Linked DNA regions of Lonchura striata. The protein of the gene in region 1 purifies or fractionates together with the protein of each later gene. This does not show direct contact. Links are inferred from orthologs where the notes say so. Each region holds a gene or a part of one and is shown in the gene's direction. Other genes may lie near its edges.

What was found.
Region 2: the proteins of SIK2 (region 1) and PPP2R2A purify together in Homo sapiens (affinity purification with mass spectrometry; 3 studies listed by BioGRID and IntAct, with this or other methods). This does not show direct contact. The link is inferred for Lonchura striata from reciprocal best matches to the Homo sapiens genes SIK2 and PPP2R2A.
Region 3: the proteins of SIK2 (region 1) and PPP2R2C purify together in Homo sapiens (affinity purification with mass spectrometry; 3 studies listed by BioGRID and IntAct, counting the BioPlex papers as one, with this or other methods). This does not show direct contact. The link is inferred for Lonchura striata from reciprocal best matches to the Homo sapiens genes SIK2 and PPP2R2C.

Annotation. Positions count from the first base shown.
Region 1 is NC_134625.1:9,393,207-9,400,653, forward strand, and holds the start of SIK2 (serine/threonine-protein kinase SIK2), read left to right. Parts: upstream 1-4,437; 5' UTR 4,438-5,599; coding exon 5,600-6,037; intron 6,038-6,126; coding exon 6,127-6,243; intron 6,244-7,447. UniProt on the Homo sapiens protein: Serine/threonine-protein kinase that plays a role in many biological processes such as fatty acid oxidation, autophagy, immune response or glucose metabolism.
Region 2 is NC_134634.1:2,457,912-2,465,903, reverse strand, and holds the start of PPP2R2A (serine/threonine-protein phosphatase 2A 55 kDa regulatory subunit B alpha isoform), read left to right. Parts: upstream 1-4,967; coding exon 4,968-5,076; intron 5,077-5,704; coding exon 5,705-5,779; intron 5,780-7,992. UniProt on the Homo sapiens protein: Substrate-recognition subunit of protein phosphatase 2A (PP2A) that plays a key role in cell cycle by controlling mitosis entry and exit. Involved in chromosome clustering during late mitosis by mediating dephosphorylation of MKI67.
Region 3 is NC_134606.1:12,003,860-12,011,695, forward strand, and holds the start of PPP2R2C (protein phosphatase 2, regulatory subunit B, gamma), read left to right. Parts: upstream 1-4,819; 5' UTR 4,820-4,950; coding exon 4,951-4,993; intron 4,994-5,154; coding exon 5,155-5,235; intron 5,236-7,836. Other genes in the region: MAN2B2 (epididymis-specific alpha-mannosidase), read right to left, coding at 1,603-1,734. UniProt on the Homo sapiens protein: The B regulatory subunit might modulate substrate selectivity and catalytic activity, and might also direct the localization of the catalytic enzyme to a particular subcellular compartment.

The DNA of each region.
Region 1 (7,447 bases):
CGCCGCCGGTGCCGGTGTCACTGGCACTATCCCAGCGGGTCCCGCCGCCGGTGCCGGTGTCACCGGCCGGGTCCCGCCGCCGGTGCCGCGGCCGGCGCTGCCGGGGCGGGCCGCGGCCGCGCGGTTGCCATGGCGACGCCCCGCCCGCGGTGACGCGCGCGGTGACGCCGGTGGCGGCGGAGGGGGCGGCGCGGCCCCGGGGGCGCCGCGCGGAGCCCGAGCCGGAGCCGCCGCCGCCGCCCCCCGAGCCCAGCATGGTGATGGCCGAGCCGCGGCGGCCCCCGGCGCTGCTGCCCCGCGGGCTCGGGCCCGTCCGCGTCGGCTTCTACGACATCGAGGGCACGCTGGGCAAGGGCAACTTCGCGGTGGTGAAGCTGGCGCGGCACCGCATCACCCGCAGCGAGGTGGGCACGGCGCGGGGGGCGCGGCGGGGGCTGCGCGGGGCCGGCGCCGCTCCGCTCCGCTCCCTTCCGCGCCGCTTTTGTCCCTTCCGGCACCTCCCGCGGAGCCCCGGCCGCTGCCCCGGGGGGGTTCCCCCGCTCGCATCCTCCCGGGAAGGGCGGAACGCCCCCGGGGCCGCGGGGGGATGCCCGAGGATGTCACCCGCGGGATGTCACACCCCCCGACCTCCCCCTCCCGCCCCCGCTAAGGATGCCACCCGAAAGATGACACCCCCAGGATGTCACCCCCAGGGTGGTGGCATCAGCCCCGGGGTGGTGGCATCGCTGCCGGGATGGCACCGCGAGGATGCTCCGGTGCTGCTCCAGCAGCACTTTCTGCTCCCTGGGAAGGGTCAAACCTTGTGCTGTGCCTGCCGCCGTGCCCCGGGTATTTTCGGGTTTCCTGACCTGGGCAATGCTGGGTTATCTGTTTCAGCAGTGTGTGTGTGTGTGTGTGTGTGTGCTGAATTCTTCACGGCATCCTCCAAGTTCACCAAATCCAACCATTTTTAGCCTCTTTTGTTCAACCGCCCCCGTGTATTACCCGGTGATTATTATTAATACCTGGCGCTTTACCTAAAACAAAAATGATTGTCGGTCTGCCTGGGTAAAAATGTAGTCGTGTTCACTTTAAAAAAAAAAAAAAAAGAAAAAAGAAAAAGGAGGTATTTGATGAGAGTAATGGCTCTGAAGGATCAGCTTCCTCTTCTGCCTTGTTTTAGGTAGTTTTAGTTGCTACACCTAGAGGTGAGCTTTTTGTAAGGCTCTCTTCTGGTGGCTTTCATTGTTGACTGAAGAAGAGGTTCCTGGCTGCTCTGTCCCTGGCCAAAGTCACTCAAACGCTGTCCCAAGGCCTGCAGGTATTCACCACCGTGGGCTCGGAGGGGAAAATCCTAAAATCCTAAAATCATCCCTTCAGGAATGGCAGCATGCCCTGAAAGCTGCAGCCCAGCTGAGGACAGCAAACCCCGGGTGCTAACAGGGCTGAGCTCTGCGTGGCAGGGACTGGCAGAAACTTCTCCTTTTGCCTCATTTCTCAAGTTCATCCTAAACTCGGTTCTTCCTGAGCCCTTCCTCGCTCCTGCTGAAGAGCCAAGCAGCGCCAGCCTTCCCCTTCCCAAGTTTGGTGCCATGGGCCAGAATTGCAAATGCTCCACTTGAAGATACTCGCTTGTCATTGCTCTGCAGCCCTCATTTCTTTTTGGCAGGCTTTGTGGTGGAGATGAAAACTTTAATCTTGGTTTTTATTGTCCTTTTAGAAAGCCTGTTTGTTTAGCATTGTTCGAAATAACAAAGGTTGCAGAAAGCACAGAGCTTAAAAGCTCCCCGATTCCTGGATGCTTCTTTCATCTGTGTCCTAAGGAACTGCTGAATTCTCTTAGTCTTCAAATATTTTTTAACCAGCTTTTCTGTCCAGCCTGCAGCCTTTTTATCTTCTGGGGGATTTTTACAGCAAATTTGCCCGTGTTGGAGGACTTTTTGTCAAGGTCTTTGATTTTTTGAGTCAGCTCTGACTTCTGCAGGGAGAGATGCAGGAGTGTTTTTCTGGAACTGAATTGCTGAGTTGGTTGCTGGAAGTATTTACACAATCTTTGAGGAAGGGGAACCCTGTTAAGATCACTTCTGGTGATGTCAGAGGAAATAAATTCCAGCCAAATACTCTTTGGAATAAGCACTTCCAGCTTGGAGCAGCTCACCTGATTGTTGGACCCCTGAGCACACAGAGTGGAAATCCTGCTTGTTAATGACTCCAGACTGAAGGGTTTTCATATTTCAAACTTCTTCTAAACTGTTGCTTAAGTTCCAGTGGAAGAATATTCAGTTTTTAGGTTCTGGTGCACCCTCAGGTCTGTGCTACAGGAGGATGCTGTGATGCTGCTGAGACTTGCTCAAAAAACCTGTTTTAAAAGGACTCCTTGTCAAAGTTTCTCCTGAATCTCCTGATTTCAACCCTTTACATTCAGAACCTGTTTGTTGTTGGGCTTTTCCAGCGCTGGCATTTTGAAATTGTGTTTGATATGATTTTGACCTTTGAAATATTTGCCTTTTTATTTTTTAATGCAACTCTAGCCAATAACCATCCAATTAAAAAAGATGGGCTCTAATTACCTTGAATGCAGCACTTATGGATTGTGTAAAATCCATCCTTTTTATGGAAAGACTGCAGGTGAGGAGATAAAATTGTTGCCATAAATTGTTAGCAGAGGTGGGAATGAAATGAAAACACGAAGCAGGAGAGCAGCACAGGGTGTGTGCAAACGAAATCAGAAATCAAAATTTGAATTCATGCAAGTTCTGAACAACCGCACAGAAGCGTGAAAGTTGGGAAAAATGGGGGGATTAATAAATTTATCAGGTGATAAAGATGTCAGGAATAAATAAATTAAATAAGGATATGCAGGAATAGAGGTGCTGCCTGACCCTTTTTACTGCCAGTCCACCCAGGGGGGCTGAACCCGACCTTTGCTTGTCTTTTTTGGGGTTTTTGGTGCCATTTGAGTGGAGGGCACGTGGCTTTTTTGCTGCCACGCTCCTTTCTTGATGCTGCTGCCCAGAAATCCTGTGATCCCAGGGCAGCTCCTGCTAATGAGGCGTGGAAATGAGCCGAGATTTTCCTGGGGAGGACGGAGAGGAGGGAAGGGGAATAATTGGTGGCGTCAAAGTTGGAGGAGATGGAGATTTGCTTCCACTGAAATGGGATGGGAGTGGAATAAGGGAAAGGTTTGGAATGTAGGGAATAGGGGAAAGGTTTGGAGTAGGTGAAGGTGCTGCTTGGAAAAAGCAGGAATTTGGGAACACACCCCTAAAAGCCTTAATTAACCCCCCCTAAGGATTAATCCCCTGCAGAGGAACTCTGCTCGCTGCTCCCTAGGGGAAAACAAAACCTGGCTCTCCCTGTGCCTCCCAGATGTGCTTCCACCTGGCTGCTGTTACAGCGAATTTCTATTTTTCTTTGAGAAAAAAAAAAAAAAAAAAAAAAAAAAAAAAAAGAAAAAAGAAAAATGACCCTGCAGCCCCTGATTTGATCTGTGGCAGCAGTTCGGGTGAGCTCAGGTATTTGCAAAGTGAGTAACTCCAGCAGAGTCAGCAGCTCCCTGCGCTGCGCAACAAAACACGGAGTTTTTCCAGACTGCAGGAAGTTGTGGTTGTTAGTTTTAATGCATTTTATCTATTTTAAGAATGCACTGGGTTAACAAATCCGAATTTCTGTAACCTGCAGGGACAAAGCTCTGTTTGAATGTGAACTTGTAGCGGGAGGTTGTGTTGTGGTTTTGGTTTTTTTTGCTTTTTTGCCTTTGTTTTCCCTTTCAAGAATTAAAGGAACGAAACAAAAACAATGAAAACTGACATTTGGAGTAGCTGAGGAGCAGCAGCAGCAGAACTTTCATCTTTTCTTGACAAGCATTTCATCCTCCCTCCTTGGCAGTTGCAATTCCCAGATGTCAGGGCAGGATTGAGCAAACTCCAATTCCCTGGGCCTCCAGTGGAAGAGGGAAGGAAATAAGTGCAGTTCCTTGTATTTTAAAATGGTTTTTGTATTTTAAAAACCACAAAAGCTGCAAAAATATCTTGGAATGTAACTCCTTAAGCAGCAAAATCTGGTGACAGGCAGAGATCAGGGATTTTTTGGCTTTCCTTCTCAGGTGAAAGATGTGCTGACATTATATATTGAAATTTGGGGTTTTTTTGTTGTTTATTTCGAGCTGTTGCCAGTAGTTTTTGGCAAGCTGCATGTTTAGGAACAAAACACACTTTTCAGATAGGAAACTGCTCCGTGGCTTGAAGGAGCTTCTCCACCTCTAAGAATTACATCCCTTTTCCTGTCATCAAGAGACAGCTGAGCTCATGGACAAAAAGGAGCTGCTGAATTCCCTGTTCCTGCTCACATCCTTGGGAAGATTTTGCTGGATTTTAAGTATTTTCAAGTGGTTCTTCTGTAAAATCTTCCCTGCTCCTGGCAAGATGAAGATGCAGAGCGAGCTGAGGTATTAAATCTGCATTTGAGTGGAGGAGCTGCTGCTCTCCTGTGGTATATATATATATATATTTTATGGACATATTTCATGCACACTGGAAGTTGTGCATTTTCCTGGGAGTTGGGGAAAGACTGGGGACTTTTAAAGAGGGAAAACCAGAGTGAGCTGAAGTCAATAAATAGTTAATTGTGAACTCAGGAGGGCCCATAATCAGTGTTGGAGCAGATAATGAGGTTCACCTCCCATGGATTTCCTGTGCAGCAGCTCTCCCATGTTCAATAGTTTGTATATATGGTTTGTATATAATAATTCTGCTATAATTGGAATTATTAGTGGGACTTGCACTGTTTGCTCCTGCTTCAGCATTAATAAAGTGACATTCAGGGTGAGCAAGCACCATTTGTATATTCAACACTCTTTAACATTTTTACCCTTTGCAGGGGTTGTATTTTCACTTTCTTCTTGGTTTCAATTTTAAATGTCTTCTGTTGGAGCTTTTTAGTTCCCCTCAGCATCTCGAGTGATCTTCCCTTTTCATTTATTGGCTAAAAAACAAGGTCAGCAGGGCCAGGATGTGTTTTGTGAATTAATTGAGATGTGTTTGCAAGGTTTGACTGGTAAATTCATCTGCAGAGTTTTTATCTCTGAAGGGATGAACTGCAGATACCCTTTCATAATAACATACGAATTAATTAAATATGCCACAGCTGCAAGTGCCTGGAGCCCCTAGGTTTGGACTGTTTGTGTGGAGCCAACACAAGAATTTTAAGTTTTTCATATAAAATATCCTTTTGTGGGACTCTGATTTGTCACCTTGACTCCTGAAATGGGCACCACGGAGATTTTTGGGGAGATGTTGCTCACTGCAAATTCCTGATTGAAGAACACCTGGAGCACTGACCTCCCTCACCTGTCCTGTGCCTTCCATTCTATGGAAAACCTGCTTTTTCTCATAGAAAAACAACTTTTACTCCTAGAAAACCTACTTTTACTCACGAAAAACCTGCTTTTACTCAAGGAAAATCTGCTTTTTCTCATTGAAAACCTACTTTTACTCACGAAAAACCTGCTTTTACTCAAGGAAAACCTGCTTTTACTCATAGAAAACCTACTTTTAACTCATGGAAAACCTGCTTTTTCTCATAGAAAACCTACTTTTACTCATGGAAAACCTGTTTAGTCATGGAGATCCTACTTTTACTCATGGAAAACTTGCTTTTACTCATGAAAAACCTGCTTTTACTCATTGAAAACGTACTTTTACTCACGGAAAACCTGCTTTTTCTCATAGAAAACCTAATTTTTCTCATGGAAAACCTGCTTTTTCTCATAGAAAAACTACTTTTACTCATGGAAAACCTATTTTTACTCATGGAAAACCTACTTTTACTCATGAGAAACCTGCTTTTTCTCATAGAAAACCTGATTTTTCTCATGGAAAACCTGCTTTTTCTCATAGAAAAACAACTTATACTCATAGAAAACCTACTTTTGCTCATGGAAAACCTGCTTTTCCTCACATGCTGGTGTGGGTGGGAGCCCTGCAGCCCCTCCGAGGGACCCCAGCCACTTTCAGTGCTGCCCTGCTCTATTTTCCACTCAGGGATTTGCAGCCTCCAGGTACCCGGGGCTGCATTATTCCCTTTTCAATGAGGGTCAGCTCACCTTGGGGGAGTTTTTAAACCTCATTTTTCCCTCTTGCTCTGCAGGTGGCAATAAAAATCATCGACAAATCTCAGCTGGATGCTGTGAACCTGGAGAAGATCTACAGGGAGGTGCAGATAATGAAGATGCTCGACCACCCACACATCATAAAACTCTACCAGGTAGGCTTAGAGGGGCTTTTCCCCTTTTTTCCCCCTTTTTTCCTCCTTTTTTCCCCCTTCTTTCCCCCTTTTTCCCCCCCTTTTTTCCCCTTTTTCTCCCTTTTTCCCCTTTTTTCCTCCTTTTTTCCCCCTTTTTTCCCCCTTTTTTCCCCTTTTCCCCCTTTTTTCCCCTTTTTCCCCTTTTTCCCCTTTTCCCCCCTTTTTTCCCCCCTTTCCCCCCCTCTTCCCCCCCTTTTTCCCCCACTTTTTCCCCGCTTTTTTTCTCCCTTTTCCCCCTTTTTTCCCCCTTTTTTCCCCCTTTTTTCCCCCTTTTTTCCCCCTTTCCCCCCGCTTTTTTCCCCCTTTTCCCCCCCCTTTTTTCCCCCCCTTTTCCCCCCCCACCTTTTTCCCTGCTTTTTTTTCCCCCCTTTTATTTCCCCCTTTTTATTTCCCCCCTTTTATTTCCCCTTTTTTTCTCCCCCCTTTTTTCCACCCTTTTCTTCCCCCTTTTTCCCCCTCTTAGTTCAGCTAAACAAAAATGAATATCCCAGTTAAGACCAGTTCAACCTTAAATTAATTCTATGCACAAGAAGCTGGCCTTTAAAATATTTTAAAAACAAAAGGGTTTCAATTTAAAAGATAAAACTGGTTTAAAATATCGATGTAGCAGGTAGAGATGGAGCTCAAGGAGTTAAATTTGCAATTGCCTCGATAATATCTCCCCTCAGTTCCTTTCTGAATGAATGACACCACAGAAAAGTGGCAGGGGAGAGAGTGAGAATATTGAAATTATGACTGAAAATCAGCAGGGAGGGTGGTGCTCACTCCTCTGCTTAAAAATGCATTTGATAAATGAATTTATTTTAAAAATAGCCTTCAAATTGTCTACCTGCTTTGCTTTTATTTGTGAGCAGCCTCTTGGGACTTTCAGGCCAGTTAAGAAATAAAATGCAAAATCAAATTCACAAAGCTCTTGCCCACGGACGAGTTCAGCTGATGCTGAAACGTTTCTCTGAGGTTATTGAAATAAACTCAAAATACATTGGAATTTCTCTGAGGTTTTTGAAATCAACCCAATAAAAATACTTGGGAATTGTTGTCCTGAAATCTGAAATGGCTTTTTGAAGTGGAGGATTGTGATAATTCCACGTGTGAGGCAGAACTTCCCCAGCTTTAGGAGAGATCCATAAAAATAAAGATCCATAAAAATAAAAATCCATAAAAA
Region 2 (7,992 bases), on another chromosome or scaffold:
ATTTTACATTATTATATATTTTTATTGGTTGCTGATCATGTGATACACTTTGATTTTTAGGTTGTTCTAACTTCCACAGCTCCTGGTCTAGGCTGCTGTGAACCGACTGCTCTTTATGTACTTTTCTGACAAATATCACAGCAAATAGATGCAGAAATGCTGTTTTTTGAGTCCTTGTTCCTGTAAGTTCCTCCCACTTCCCAGAGGTCATCTTCAGTCTCAGCTGAAGGAGTTTTTGTATAGAGTAAGAATTAGTCATTAAAGCATGATGGGAGTAGATAAATGCCCATTAAAGCTTTGTGCTGTTGGAGGCTGTGTATAAATTTAACACCATACAGTTACAATCTCCCCAGAGCACCTCAACAAATGCTCAAGCTCCAGAAAAATCCAGGTGTGTGCTCACAAGCTTTGAATCAGGGCTATGGAACACACACTGCCTAATTTGAACCAATCATTCATAGCGTGAACCTCTGAACTACCAAGCAAGTGAACACCCAGGCAAAGGTTGTGGTTCCCAAGATGTCTCACTAATTGCTATGGCTGTAATTTAATGTTATTTATTTATTACGCTCCACTATTTTCTGTAGCTGTTGGTTCACAACAAAAAACTGAAGTGTTTGAGTTACAATCCATCCTCCTAGCACCATGATATTCAATATTTTCTAAGAGAAATTTTATTGTAATTATAAGCTTTCTACTAAGGCTTCATTAATTTCTCTTACAGAGCTAATTGCAGGTCTCTTTGCCATATTTAATTTTTTTTAACAACAAAAGTTCTTGAACCAAGGCTTATTCTGCTATGAGTACAAATTCTGCAGTAATTATACAAAAGACAATGGATGGATTGGACTAGATCTGCAAATTTTCCTGCTAAACAGTTGCAGGACAATTCTGCTTACGTTGAAAAGAGTATGTTTAAAGAATTAATTTAATTTATTAATTAAATTCAGAATTTAAAGAATTCTGAAAAGAGAGGAATGCCAGCTTTCTTGCTGAATTTGGTATAAAGTAAACATGGCCACAAATTTGTAGAATTGAGTGAATTTGCTCTTGAGCTATGGGAAATGTGGACTGGGATGCTTGGGACCAGGGAGTTTGTTTTCGTTGTGATTGTTTCCAAACTTGCAGTGTTTTTGGGTTGCTCTCAAAACAACCCAAGCAAAACACTTGGTTACAGAGATTTCCAAACCTGGGTAAGTTGCAATTCTTTAGAACATCCCATATATGCTGAATGTTCTTTCAAATGTTATTGTTATTTCCAAGATTGATTTATTTGCCTGTGCAATTTTTTTTCTATCATGGATGCAGAGACAAATCAGAATTCCAAAATAACTTGTAATTTGGGCCAGCTGTGGGTTTCTGGTGGCAGCCTGTCTTTTTGTATTCATTTGTGGTATTTAGTTCCTACAGCTCTGTTTCATGGTGGACTTGACAAGCAATTCAATGGTCTTTTCATTTATAAAAGCATCCTCTTAGGTGTTCAGAGATGGAAATGTAGAAATCAGTGTATGGGAGGGTTTTGGAGGCTTGTTCCAAGTCACATTTCAAGTTTGTGGTAGCGCTGGGTTTGCAGGATGAGCTTATGAATCTCCAAGTGAAATCTGGATTAGCAAGATCTACCCAGCCCAAGAAGAATATGTTTGCACAAACATCTTTTAAGGGAAACTGATGACTTTCACAAGATCTTAAATAGATTGTACTGAATTAATTATCCCAGTCCTGTAGTTAACTACAGATGAGACAGTAACTGGGACCCAGCAAGCTAAAAAGGAGCCTCCATCCCTCCCAAGCCAGCAGGAGCTGAGCCAAGCTGGGCTCGGCTGAAAGCCTTTCTTTGTGGATCTTGCTGGCTGTCAGTGTGAAAGGTGGATGGAGGCTAAAAATGGCTCAGGAGCATGGCCGGTGTATGCAGGGAATAGCAATGAGAACAGAGTGAAATCAGAGACCGAGCCCTGGACGTTGTGGAAAGCATCCAAGGGGGTGGAAAATGTGCAAGCAAACAGGTTCTGTGTGCCTGCTGCACGGGCAAATGGCAGGAGGGAGCAAAGGGAAGAGAGGGGGGAAAACACCAAAACCAAAGCACAAGCGAAAGGGAGATGATCTCAGAAATTCAAAGAGAAGGAAATCAGAAGCCTGAAAATAATCTTTCCAGAAAAGATGAAATATCTCAGAATGAGAAGTCCTGGAATAAAGTACAGTTTGCATTTTTTGCTTGCTTTAAATTCTTCCCTGAAGGATTACAGACATGCAAGATGCACAACCTGAGGGATTATCAGGGAAATGTTCTTCACCCTGTAGGGAATGGGCACGGCCCAAGGCCGCCAGAGCTCCAGGAGCGTTTGAACAGCACTCCCAGGGATGCAGAGTGGGATTTTGTGGTATCTCTGCCGGGCCAGCAGCTGGATCGATGATCCTGGTGGATGCTTCCCAACCAGCTCAGGATATTCGGCTTCATGAAGGGCGAGCCTGCGGGAGAGGGGTCAAGGAAGGAAGCTGTTCCTGCAGGGGAGTCCGGGCGGCGGTGGTGGCGGACACCGCAGCACGGAGGGGCTGGGAGCGGGCGATGGCGGCGGCCCCTCCATGAGGGCGGGCAGGGGCCGCGCTGAGGGGCGGCAGTCCCCCCGTGGAGGCGGCCGATCGCTCCAGCCTGAGGGGCGGTAACACCTCCATGAGAGCGGGCAGGGGCCGCGCTGAGGGGCGGCAGTCCCCCCGTGGAGGCGGCCGATCGCTCCAGCCTGAGGGGCGGTAACACCTCCATGAGGGCGGGCGGGGGCTGAGCCGAGCGAGGGTCGTTAGCCCCGCCATGAGGGACACAGCCTCACCATGGGGGTGACTGACGCCGCGCTGAAGGGCGAGTGGAACCGGGCTGAGGGCGGCCGATCGCTGCCGAGCTGAAGCAGCGGCACCCCCGCCATGAGGGCTAACAGGAGCCAGGCACGGACATGGCGGCACCGCCCGCCCTCCTGAGGGCGGCTCGCTCCCGCCCCGCGCTGACGTCACCCCCAGCTCTGCCGGCGCCATCTTGGACGCTCATCGCCGGGGGGGCCGGAGCGGGGCCGCCCCAGCCCCGCCGCGGCCGCCGCCGCCTCCTCCTCCTCCTCCTCCTCCTCCTCCTCCATCCGCCGCCATCGCCGCCCGCCGCCGCCGCCCGCCCCGCGCCGCCCGCCCCGCCCGCGCCGCCCGCTCCGCCCGACCCGCCGCGGCCGCTATCGCCAGCACAACATGGCAGGTAAGGGCAGCCTGCCCCCCTGCCCCGGCGTGGCTCGGGGGACTCTCCCCGCTGCCTCCCGGGCCGCCTCTCCTATTCCGACTCGCTTGCGCCTTGCTGGTTGTGGGGTGGCTTTTTTTTTTTTTTTTTTTTTTTTTTTTTTTAGCCTCTCGTGTGGGAATTCGTGCTTTGCTCCCACCCACCCCTCCTTCCCTCCGTTCCCCGGGAAAAGAAAAAAAAAAAAAAAAACATGGAAGAAGCAAGGTGGAGCGGGAAGTGGTGTGTTTTGGAGTTGAGCTTGCAGGCAGGGTGGGTCTGCTGCCTTTTCGTAGAATCATGGAGTGATTTGGGTGGGAAGGGACCTTAAAACCGGTCCAGTTCCACACCCTGGCATGGGCAGGGGCACCTTCTGCTATCCCAGGTTGCTCTGAGCCTCATCCAGCCTGGCCTTAGACAATTCCAGGGATCCAGGGACAGCCACAGCTGCTCTGGGTAACCTGTGCCAGGGCCTCCCCACCCTCAGAGGGAAGAATTACTTCGCAATATCCCAGCTCAACCTACTCTTTCAGTTTGAACCCATTCCCCCTTGTCCTGTCACCACATGCTCTGGTAAAGAGTTTCCCCCTTGAGGCTTTAGGGTCGGTGCTTGTAGTTATTTCTCTGCCGTGTACAGAGAGGTTCCAGGTGCAGGCGGTGTCCAGATTGCAGTCGCACCCTTCTGTAGGGAGCAGCCTCTGAGCATCTGTAAATGCCACTGAAATTTGGCACAGGGTGTGATTAAACAGCACAGGTCTCGCCGTGTTTTCTTTCCCATTCCTTCCTCTGCTTACTCCCCATTTCACATCCCCAAGTGCTGTTGGTAGGCTTGGGAATGTGTGTGCAGAAAGGATCTCTTCCCTCTTACTTTTCCTTGCATTTTCTTCATTTGGAAATGTATTCATCCCCCTCCTCTGCACGTGAATTGTCTTTTCAGTGCTTTGCATGTGGAGGAGCAAAGCATGGGAGGCTTTGTGAGGCATGTGCTTTGCCTTTCCCCCCTACACCATATGCACATGCTCCACCCTCCTCTTGCCGTTTTAGTCGTGGGGGGGGGAAAGTGCCAACTTGGTTCAAGTAAATTTTATGGAAAAGAGCTCGAAGAAGCAGGAGCAGTGATTCTCTCCGAGCTGTTCCCTTTAAGTGCTGCTATGGTGCCAGCCGCTAAATGACAAACGAAGAAGTTGAAGAGAAGAAAATGGGTTGTAGGATTTTGGGGGAATGATGGGAGGAGGGAAAGCATTTTGCCATCTCCTGCATAGATGGGTTCTGTTGCTTGCTTTCACCTCCTCAGGTTGTGCATCTTGGATGTCTGTAATCCTTCAAGGAAGAATTTAAAGCAAGCAAAAAATGCAAACTGTACTTTATTCCAGGACTTCTCATTCTGAGATATTTCATCTTTTCTGGAAAGATTATTTTCAGGCCTCTGATTTCCTTCTCTCTGAGTTTTTTTGCTCCCCTTAACTTGGGAAGAGTCTCCTCCTGTATTCTTTGTTATCTCCAAAGCCCTACCAGAGCTCGGGATTAATGTGTAAATGCCATCTGTTGCTCAGCCGGTTTGAGTTGTGTGGAGGAAAAGTTCCATTTTGACAGTGGCTTTTGGGAAAAAAAAAAAAAAAAAAAAACCAACAAAAAAACCAACCAACCGAGGCAAGCCCATTTCTGGCTCTTCCTGTATGTCCTCAGCCCTGCAGTGATTTGCTCAGAATGAAATGCAAAAGAAATGGGTGGTGATTTTTGGTGTGTGTTTTTGTGGCACGGTTCAAATGAATCACTGCCTTCAGCCGAGGCAGTAATGTTCCTGAAGTTTTCTCTCCGATCCGTTTTCTATGGTAGTAGAATTTGTCCCCCTCCGATTGCTTGTTTGCTTTTCTGCTCGGATTTGCTGCTTTTTTTTTTAGGCTGATAATTGCTTTCATTACTTCTGCGAAGAGACTCTAAAATTGTGGTAAAATTCTTTTTCTTTAGCCTTGAGTGCTTAGGGTCGGTGCAGTAGGTTTGTGAAAGGAGGAAATGAATTGTGTGCTTGGTTTGTATTGGACAGGAGATTGAAATTTTTTAAAAAAGCACAGCTCTGATAGTTGATATTTAAGCTGTTTGTGTGTGTGTGTGTTTAGGGGGGTTCTGACTCCTCGAGTAGGAAAAAGTTTTGTGTGAAACACAGCAGTTCCTGCACTTGAATTTTAAATTCGTAGTTGATGGTGCTTAGTCCAGCAAGCTTTGAGTGAGTGAAGCTTTTACACTGGTTGTGCTTCCCTGTTTTTGACAAACAGTGCATTGAAGGCTGACAAAAACAATATCCAAAGGAAAAAGGTGGGGAGGGTGGTGTGTGATTGTGCCTCAGCACTGCTGAGGAAGTGGGCGTGCACAGGCTCTGAAATGTGCAATCTGGAGCCATTGTGTGCTTGTGCTGCTGCTCTTGGGGGGGCTCGTTTTTATTGAATTGTTTTCAATTTTCAGGAGCTGGAGGAGGAAATGACATTCAGTGGTGTTTTTCTCAGGTGAAAGGCGCTGTAGATGATGATGTAGCAGAAGGTAAGAGTAATACTTTTTACTGTTTTCTAACTTTTTAACCATTCCTTAGGTGGGGAGATGTGAATGCAGTCAGTAAAATATCCCAGTGCTGCTAAGTGCTCGTTGAGCAAAGCAAATGGACATTTCATATGTATTCCCATATCCAGATTCAGGTTTAAACTGTGATTTGAAAGTACCATTCAGCATTCTTGTAAAAAAGTTCAGGCTTCCTAAGTTATTTTTGCTGGAATTGTTTTCTAACATTGCTAAGATTTTTCTGATTTTTTGGCTTTTGACTTGTGTTTTTTCTTAATCTTCAAAATGGGGAATGTGTTACTTAAATTCCACAAGGAGGTGTTGTTAGAATTAATATTTGTACTCTTTGAAGATCTAAGTACTGCATGAAGGAATTGTCCCAACATTTCTAGCTCCTATTAACAAGAGGCAGAAGAAATCTGCGTATTTGTGCATGCCTACTTAGTATATAAGGAGCAGGTTTGGGTTTGAAATAATGCTGAAAATTGTCTGAAACTTTTCCAAGCTGCCAGTGACAAGTGTCATGTTACACTAAGATGGCTGCCTCTGAATTTCACTGCAAAAACTACTGTTTGGGCTTTTTTCCCTTGGATTTTGGATCATTGGAGGAATGATGCTTTTTTCTGTGCTGGAGAGCAGAATCTCTTCTGTGATCATTCCCGAGGAGAGGTCCCCTGACTTCTGAATTTCTTTGGCCATAAAGTCCTGTTTGCAACAAAGCAGCTTTTAAGATCATGAGTTAAAAGTTTTCTTTTGCAAGTAGTTGGCCTTGTCACTTATGTAATTCCTGTTTTTTTTTATTTTTCTTGCATATCTTGAATGCTCTGACATAGAAGTGAGATTAATGTTATATTTAGAAAAGCAGTAACTACAGTTTCCATTATTTCCCTGCTTGACATGTGGTTCAGATTAGCTTCCAAAGGCCAAAAGAAAAGATTGGTATAAACATAACTGAGTTGTTTTTATTTATTAGCTGCAGCATGTGGCAAACGATGCACTGAGGCTTCTGTTGTTTGCAAGTTGAAATATGTTTTTTGGAAATGAGAAAGCTGTACAGTTTCAAGTTTATTTTTAAATTCTTCAGGAAGTAGATTTTAAAGCTTGAACTCAAAGTGCTGTTAAATGTGGTATATTTTTTTTCCCTGACAGATTTAAAATTTTGTAACCTTTGTTTTATTTATGTATCATACTAAATCCTTAATAAATACAAGTATTGAAGAAGTTGTGGTTGTGGTGAAGTTGTGGTGCTTGCAAATAATTCTTCATTAAAATAGACGTTGGTATGCTTCTAGTAGTAATGAACTTATATATAGGTATAGAAAAGTAGTCTTTACAGGGATTTGGAAATGTAGAAGTGAGGAAATAGGAAGGAAGGACAGGCTGAGCTGTTTTAAGTGTTGCACTTGGTGTTATGAAAGGTGCCTTGCCAGCCTTGTGCCTCCTGCCAGGCTGGGAGCTGCGCTGAGCATTGCTGGAATCCCGGGGTGGACTTCTGGGAAGCCTTTGAGGGAATTAACTGGCTTCAGTTTCAGCAAGCCAGGCAGCTTGGTTCCTGCAGCATTGTAAGAATCTCCATTTTTTGGGTTATAGACAGTGTAGCCTTCTGATTCTGTGACCCAAAGAGTGAAAAGAAATTTTCTTTCATTGTCAGCTATACCTGACTTAGAATGAGTCTTGAGGTCCAAAGTGTATTATACTGTAAGATGGTGTGAAACTGAACTGCCTAGGGAGAGATCCCAAGTATTATTGATGGTGTGCTTGGCTGTAATTAGTGTGTTGAACTGAATTTCTCTCCTGTTCCCATGTATTTGGCTCCCACAGTCCATGCTGGAAGTTGGTGAAAGCAGTTGTTTATATTGATTTGTTGTACATCATAATGCCTCGCTGTAATTCTGTTGGAAGCGTTATGTATCAGGATGGTTGCATTTGTCCTTTTCCTAGTGATATTTCTGGCTTTAAGGTTCATATCAGTGACCTGGAGCCTTGTGTGGCTCTTGCACCAACTGGAGCAGCAGCCTCTGGTCTTTTGGAATACCCAGTGACAAACTGGCAGTGGGTGCAAGTGCAGTCTGAGAACCTTTTTAATTCCCTGCCTTTCCTTCTGCTTTCTTGGGCCAGGCCAACTGTGAAAGCTCAAGGAAATCTTACTGTCTCAAGCTTTAATGACTCTTTAACCACTCTGATCTGCCAGAGAGCAG
Region 3 (7,836 bases), on another chromosome or scaffold:
AATTTTGAAGTTGTGCACACAAAGAGATACCTTTTGCACACTTACCTCGACCAGAACAACTTTTGTTGACCAGATCCAGTCTGCCATCTTTTACTTAATTTTAAAGGGATTGAGAATGTCTAAAGACAACAGCCAACATCCTAGAATTTTCTCAGATGTCTGTCTTTCCTTGTAACAAAGTTATCTGCATGTTATTGGACAGTTATTCTACACTAACCATATAACACTTATCTAGTTAAACTACTGGTACTTAAGAACACTCACCACAAAATGTACATCCTAAAGTGGTTGACACACACATCTCTCCCAATTGAAAAAACAATGGACATATGTAAAACATGAATGCAGAGCTTCAATTTAGGTAAATTTCCTACATGAAAATTACCATTTGAAACAAGGAGATGAGGTAATCCAAATCAGAAATTAACTTTTCCTAGCCCCTTGCTTTCCAAAACACAAACACACCTTTGTAAAAATGCTCATACCACTAGAAAAAGAAAAACATTTGAGTGTTGGAGGAATGGCTTTATGTAAATAATTTCTTCCTCAATTGTTTTCCCATTGGTTCATAAGAGCTTTTTGAAATCCAGATTATTAGATACTTAAAACAATGTGAAATTTTAACTAAGGATTTGAAGTTTCAGGTTTGTGCTCTCTTATGCAATTTCCAAGTATGAGTTTGAAGTATTAGAGAAGAAATTAATTAATCTTTCCTAAAAAGGGGAGACAAAATACATGCACAGCAGAAATAGTGGGTGAGACGCTAGCTCTTTTTTATTAGTTAGGCCTAATGCCATTTCAATCTAGTGAGTAAAGTATTCGCAGCATCTTTCACACAAATGAAAACAATTCATAGTAACAAAGAAGAATTCAGGATTAGGATATTGACTAACAAATGTAAAAGGTATCAGGCCCCACCTGACTAATTTTGCTCTTCATTTCATGTATTTAGCAAAAATTAGTTTGCTACTGTACTTCAGAGGCTAGGCTCCAACCTCACCCCAGCCATCGAGGACCTGGGATCTTGCTCTCCTCTCTTAAGAAATGACAGAAGGTTTCCCTGGGGTTTTGGCTTTGTAACAAGATAAACATAAAGACCATGAAAATCTGCCACATAAGCAAAGCTCCATCACACAGAATTAAGCCTTTCCTTAGAAAAAACCCCATCAGGAGTATCCTGCTGAACACAGGCACACACAAACCCACAGCTCAAGGGCAGGGCTCCTAGGCTGAGCACGCCTCCTCCGACGGAGGATCCCGAAACACCGGGGGATGGCGGACACACCAGGCCGGACACGGCGCAGGAGCTGCACGGGCCAAGATCTGCGCCTGCCTCCGCCGGCGGCGCGCCCCGGGAGCCGGCGGCGCGCCCCGGGAGCCGGCGGCGCGCCCCGGGAGCCGGCGGCGCGCCCCGGGAGCCGGCGGCGCGCCCCGGGAGCCGGCGGCGCGCCCCGGGAGCCGGCGGCGCGCCCCGGGAGCCGGCGGCGCGCCCCGGGAGCCGGCGGCGCGCCCGGCCCCGTTACACGGCTCCGGGCAGCCCTGCCTGCGGGCTCAGCCCCGGCCGCAGCCATCCTCCCCCGCCCGTGCGGCGCCCCCGCCGACCTGCACCGTGTAAATCCAGCCGACGTCCATGTGGCTGTGGGCCACCACGAAGGCGCGCAGCTCGCCGCCGGCCCGCGGCAGGAGGGCGAGCAGCGGGAGCAGCGGGAGCAGCGGGATGCGCGGGGCAGCCATGGCCGCTGCGGCGCTCCCGCCGCACTTCCGCGTCCCGCGGCACCGCCTCCCCGCCCGGAATCAAATAAATAAATAAAAGAAGGGGCAGGAGTCTCCTGGGGAGCGGGAGGCTCCGAGGCCCGAGGGGTGACTCCGCCCGCGCCCCGAGCGGCGCTGCGGGTGCGCGGCGGGCGGAAAGCGCCGCCCCTGTGCGGGAATTCCGGACCCAGTTCGGGTATCTGGAATTTGGGTAACGCTGGGCTGCTCGGGGAGAAGCTGAGTTCTGCATCTTGGACATCTATAAATATTTCTTGTTTTCCTTTGAATTGAAAGGAAATTTTGTTTCGTGGTATGGTACTTCATTACGGCTTATTGTCTGCATCTCTGAAGTTTTGGAATTGAAGAAGGGTTAAATTTTATGTGGTTGACCTTCTGATTCCTGCTAGGAACAGGTGGACCCTGTGCTGAGGACTGGAAAGGTAAACACTTCTGTTTGAACTGCATAAAGTCCTAGTGAAAAAGGAAAAAATCCAAACCCAAACAAAAAATATTGTCGCATAGTGTAGTCCAGTCTCCTCAGAAGTTTTTTTGTAAGCAGATGCACCACTTTCTGCCTATTAAATCATTGTGACATAGAAAGCCAAAACACATAAAACTATATTTCTTTAAACTTGGATTCTTTAAAAAACATACACTATAGTATAGATCAACTACTTTCCTTAAGTTTTAGTTTGACTAAATCACATACTTTTAACAACAATGCAATTCTGAAATGACACAAAATGTCATATCAAAGTCCTCGCTCATTTCCAACAGTGCAAAAGTATAGAACATCACATGGAGAAGGGTAACTGCTCCCACCTTCAAGTTTGGTATGGATTTAGCATTACGCATTACATCCCAAACCTAGTTAAACCAGTCATCACTCTGTGATTGAAGGAAACAATCACAAATAGCTTAGTAGTGTCCATCTGCCAGACTAGCTGGCTCCTAGTGCAAATTAAACCACCTCAATACTCAAGACACCTGTAAAAAAGGATCACATAATTTGTATTGATCTCGTCATTCTAGAAAGAAAAAAACATGTGCTGCTTTACATACCAAACTTGGTGGGTTTTTTTTTAACATATAAAGTTTTAAATAATTGTTGTAAATAATTGAAGATGGAAAGGAAAACGCTTTATGTAAATCAGTAGTAATGAGTTGAACGCAATAAAATGGCCACATTCCATAAAACTTAAATCTAATATGAATATATTCTCCCAGAACAGGGCCTTTGTTTGCTATTTCAAAGAGTTTTAGAGTTTTCTGTGAAAATAAGAGGCTAACATTAGAATGCTAATATCAGTTTTATTTTTGATAATAATACATTGTCATGAAGAATAATCAAGGTCTATAGGTAACTTTTAGGGGAAGTTAGTACCACTATAAGCAGCTGGATGAAGCTTTACTTTAATACAGCTCTATGATACATTTTTCCCCCTCAAATCATCAGCATAAACATGTTAATTCCGAGAATGCTAGTGCACATCCAGCAAACATATGGCTTGAAGATATATATACACACACTGTCTAAACACACTGGTGTTTTTACCTCAGAAGGCAATACTATCTTTGTAATTTAGGTGAAGTTCCCAGGAAAGCTTAAATATCAGTGTTTTGCTTTGTTGCTAAAAGTACCTGGGAATATTTGCTGAATGTTACTCCAATTTAAAATCTATTTCCTTCAGAAACTGTAATTGTCCTCCTTATCCTTTCACAACGGCCACACTGCACCTCTGTCTTGGATAGAGTGGAGAAGAATGTGAATCAAACTGCCCGCAGTTCATACACCTGAAGGTATCAGGAGGGGTTCTACTTGCTGCAAGAAGGGATGAATGGTATGTCAGGTGGAAAGGTATGTCAGGAAACAATTCTTCCCTGCCACTTACATACTGCTTCACAAACAGCAAAAAGATAGATGGAGGAGCCAGTGCAGTCATGCCATGATAGCCGCCTATGTCGATACTTTATCCTCTTGTTGGCTCCTAATCTCATAGTATGGCTTCATTATAGTCTTCCTCTCTTCTTTCTTAAGCTTTTCTCATTAGCCTATATGAAGTGTGGCTGCTCTTTTTGACACAAACTGTGCCATACGTGGGCCTCTGACACTGTTACCTTGATAAGACAGAAGCCGTGGGCAGGATGCTGCCAACTACAAGCTAAGAGTCACAATTGTCTTAAATTAGGTATCAAGAAAGTCACCTGGTGAACAGAGCAATTAATGTGTACCTTTATATTTCTCTCCTGACATGTTTTTGGGGTGGAAGTCTCTAAGAATAAAGGCGTTTATTAACATATATTTGCTCTAGCTGACTGTTTCAGTGTTTTATAATTTTCCATTTCCCAAACCATTTCCTACTGAAGGCAAAGGTCACTGCACAGAGCCCTTTAGACTTACTTGGTAGCAGGTTTGCTTTCTTTACCAACGTCTCAGGGATGCTGTAAAGACAGTTTGTGTATTCACAGGGGCTCGTGGACCAGAGGAAAACCACTCTCCAGCCTTGCAGTACATATATAACCCAACTGTTCATGTGGCATTTGTGGCCTTGATCAGTGATAGCCCAAGTGGCCTAGGTAAGAGAACTGAGGGCAATGTTATGGGGCGAACGTAGCTGTGGCGAGGCTGAGCGGCACTAGGGCCACCGGCAGTGGGTGCCACTGGCAGTGGGTGCCACTGGCAGTGGGTGCCACTGGCAGTGGGTGCCTGCTGTGTGGTGTCCCCCGCCAGGGATGCGCGTCCAGGCTTGGGGGCAGCCGGGATGCGCGCCCATGCTCGCCAGGCTGCCCGCACCGCAGCCACGGGCGGCACCTGACGGGGAGCGCACACGGAACGGGACGGGCAGCAGGGAGGGCTGTCCTGGCCGGGGCAAGGCCGGGCTGCGGCACCGCACCCCGCCGAAGCCGCCGCGGCCGGGCTCGGCTCGCTCCGCGGCCCCGCGGCTCTCCCGCGCCTCGGGGCCGGCGCTGCCGGGCGCGGCCGGCCCGGGCGAGGCTGCGCCGCCTCCGCCGGGAGCTCCGGGCGGAGCCTTGCCTCCTCCCCGGCCTCCCTCCCCCGGCTCCCCGAGCACCCCGAGGCAGCGGAGGCTGCCTGCGCCCGCTCCGCCGGGAGGAGGAGGAGGCGCCCCGAGCCGCGGGCGCTGGGAGCAAAGCAAAGAACAGTTCAGAGCAGCGGGCGCATTCCGGAGGGCGACACCCATGTCCCACAAACAGGGTATCTGGAAACGCGCTCCTTCCCCCGGTACCCGCTGTCCCCTCTCATCCTCCGCTCCCTGCTCAGCCCTCTCCATCTCTCCTCCCCGCTCTCTTTTCTCCCCCTCGCCGCCACTTTCCCTGTCCCTTCCTCAGCCCTGTGCCCCGCTGGCTCTGTGCCCGACTGACTGTGCCTTTCCTCCTGCCCAGCCGGCGGCTCCCCCGGCCAGAGCGCGGCTGACTGGTGCCTCTGCCAGCTCAATGGAGCGGCCGAGCTCGAGGTCTCCGAAGGTGAGTGCGGGATGCTGAGCGGGCGCGTCCCCTGCCCGCTGGCCCGGCCGGCCGCGGGGGGAAGCGGGGCTCGCTGCTGGCAGCCGCCCCAGCGGTGTGCCCGAGGGCAGGTGTGGAGGTGGGCCGGCAAAGGGGTATCTGCCGGTGCTTTGCATGTTCCAGGCCTTGTAAAGTGCCTTGGCTCGTTTTGTTTTGCGGGGGCGGGCGGGGGGGAAGTTTTTTTTACGTGTAGCAGCTTAGATGGCATGAGACCTTCTGACCTTGGTGTCAGTGGGTGTTGGTGCAAAGTGGACTGAAAAGTTTTCTGGCCTTTTTTCACTTTTAACTTTGAAGAAAGAAGTCACCTGGAAAGTTTTATTTATTAATGTTCTGTGATCAGAAGAGGAACTGTCTTCGGGTGTCAGGACAGGAAAGCCTCTCATACCAACCATACCACACTGTGTATGATTTTGAACAAGCAGAATATCTGAATTTAGGTGTGAACCTGTGTCCTCCAGGATGCCAGATGTGTAGTGTGCTGTGCCCATGAGCATCTTCCAGTGTCTGTTGTCAATGAGTTAAGTGGAACTAAGACCTCATCTTGATGTTTTTGGTCTGCTGGGGTTATGGATTTCTAAGAAGAGTGTATTTACCCTTTGTAAACGTTTAAAATGCATCAGAAGTTGAGTTAGACTGAAAAACTTTCCAATACGGAGGAAGGTGGAACCCTGTAGTAGATTGGCTTCAGATTCAACATTAAGGAAAGGCTGACAACAGGGAAACACTGGAATATAGGAATTAGGTAGATAATGAAATCCCATTCATTTGAGATATTTAATGTTTGTTTCACAAACATACATTGAAGAGATAAAGCCTTGGGGCAGGCAGAAAGATTACTTGTTTGGTGTCTCTTCAGCTATTATCCGTGATCCTTTATGGTTTGAAGTTTTGTGTCTTGTATTTTGCTGTTTGGAGAAATTATTTAAACCCCAGGGTACTAATAATAAGCTGTAGCTTGACCAAGGTTTTGGATTAAGTTTTTCCTTCCTATTATTCCATGGTGAGCGGTGTCCCTATATTTCAAGGTGCACTTAATAGTGTGTGTAATTACACACAATTGCATACTAAAGCATTTATCAAAAGATGTTGTGATTTATTTTTGCCTATGTGATTTTTTTTTTGGTGAAACTGCATACCAAACCAGATGTGATGACGATAGATGGGGGTGGAAATTATATCCGTGTGAGGGAGTGTAATGAGTGAGTGACAGCATTTCTTAGGCATCACAGAATGCTGAAAATGAGCTTTAGTTTGGCATTTACTTTCATTTAAAGATTTGAATGAGTAGAATATGCTTCCTAACCTCATTTGTCTGGGTAAATACCAGTGTTTCAGCACTGCTTTGAGATGATAATGTTTTTTCTCAACAGGTGTTTTATTCCTTTGATTTATTGGGTCATCTCTTTTCACAGGGCATATTCTTTTAAATTACTTTGCTAACCCTAACTTCAGTTCTCTTTAATATTGCCAATTTTTGGATTCCAAATTTTATTCCCCAACTTAAATAGGAATCTTAAATGTTTTCTCTTAACTTACCATGGAGATAGATGAAATTCAGAGACCAGGAAACAAACTGAAGCAATGTCATTTGATCACAAAACCTGTAGAATCAAAGTCATCTGCAGGTAGTAAACCCTGTTTATGTTAATATATTGTATAAAAATATGACATATATATATTATATTGTATATAAATATATATTGTGTATAAATTATATATACAATATATATTGTATATAAATATAAGATATTGCATATAAATATAATATACTGTATATAAATATGACATTTTTCCAGAGTACATGCTGGGTATTAATGCCACTTATATCTAAGTGCACACAGAGTACTATAATCAGCAGACTTTGCAGAAGTGAAAAATAGCTCAAACAGAAGTCCATGGTGGCAGATGACGTGACCTCTTTTGCTTGACACTGTTTTTGGATGAAGTCCAAACCTTTTCCTTTGCTGAAGTATGCCTGTAAAGTAAATTACACAGAGCTAGACAGAATCTTTTGTTTAAAATTGATTGTTCCTATGACTTCCATCACAGACTTTTTTTCTCTCTTTATCCCAGTTCTTTTTTACTTTTCAGAAAGGCCACAACTTTTAATTGCAACTGCATTGGTTAGCTATATTTTCCACCCAACTGATGGACAAAAGGACTAGTTTATCTATATTAAATATTATAGTGTGATTTATATATCTAGATAGATATCTGTGTATATAAACATTTGCATATTAATAAGTTCAGTTAGTGTTCTGGGCATCTCTTGCTGCTTTTGTTTTTGAATGCTTGCATTGACCTTGCAGTACTCTAACTCTGTCAGTTAGACTTCAGAGCTGTGTTCTGCAACATTTCTGTCTTAGCCTAGGAAAGAAAATTTTTTTTTTCCAAAAATAGATGTTAGATGAAAAACATTCATTTACATAACAGAAAAGAAAAATTGCATATTTCAAATGCAAGGAAAATAGAGCATAGTAAGTGAAATATCACAATCAAAGCCAAGATAATCATGTTTGATTTAGTCTTGCTGCCTTGAAACAAAATCCTATTTCAAATATT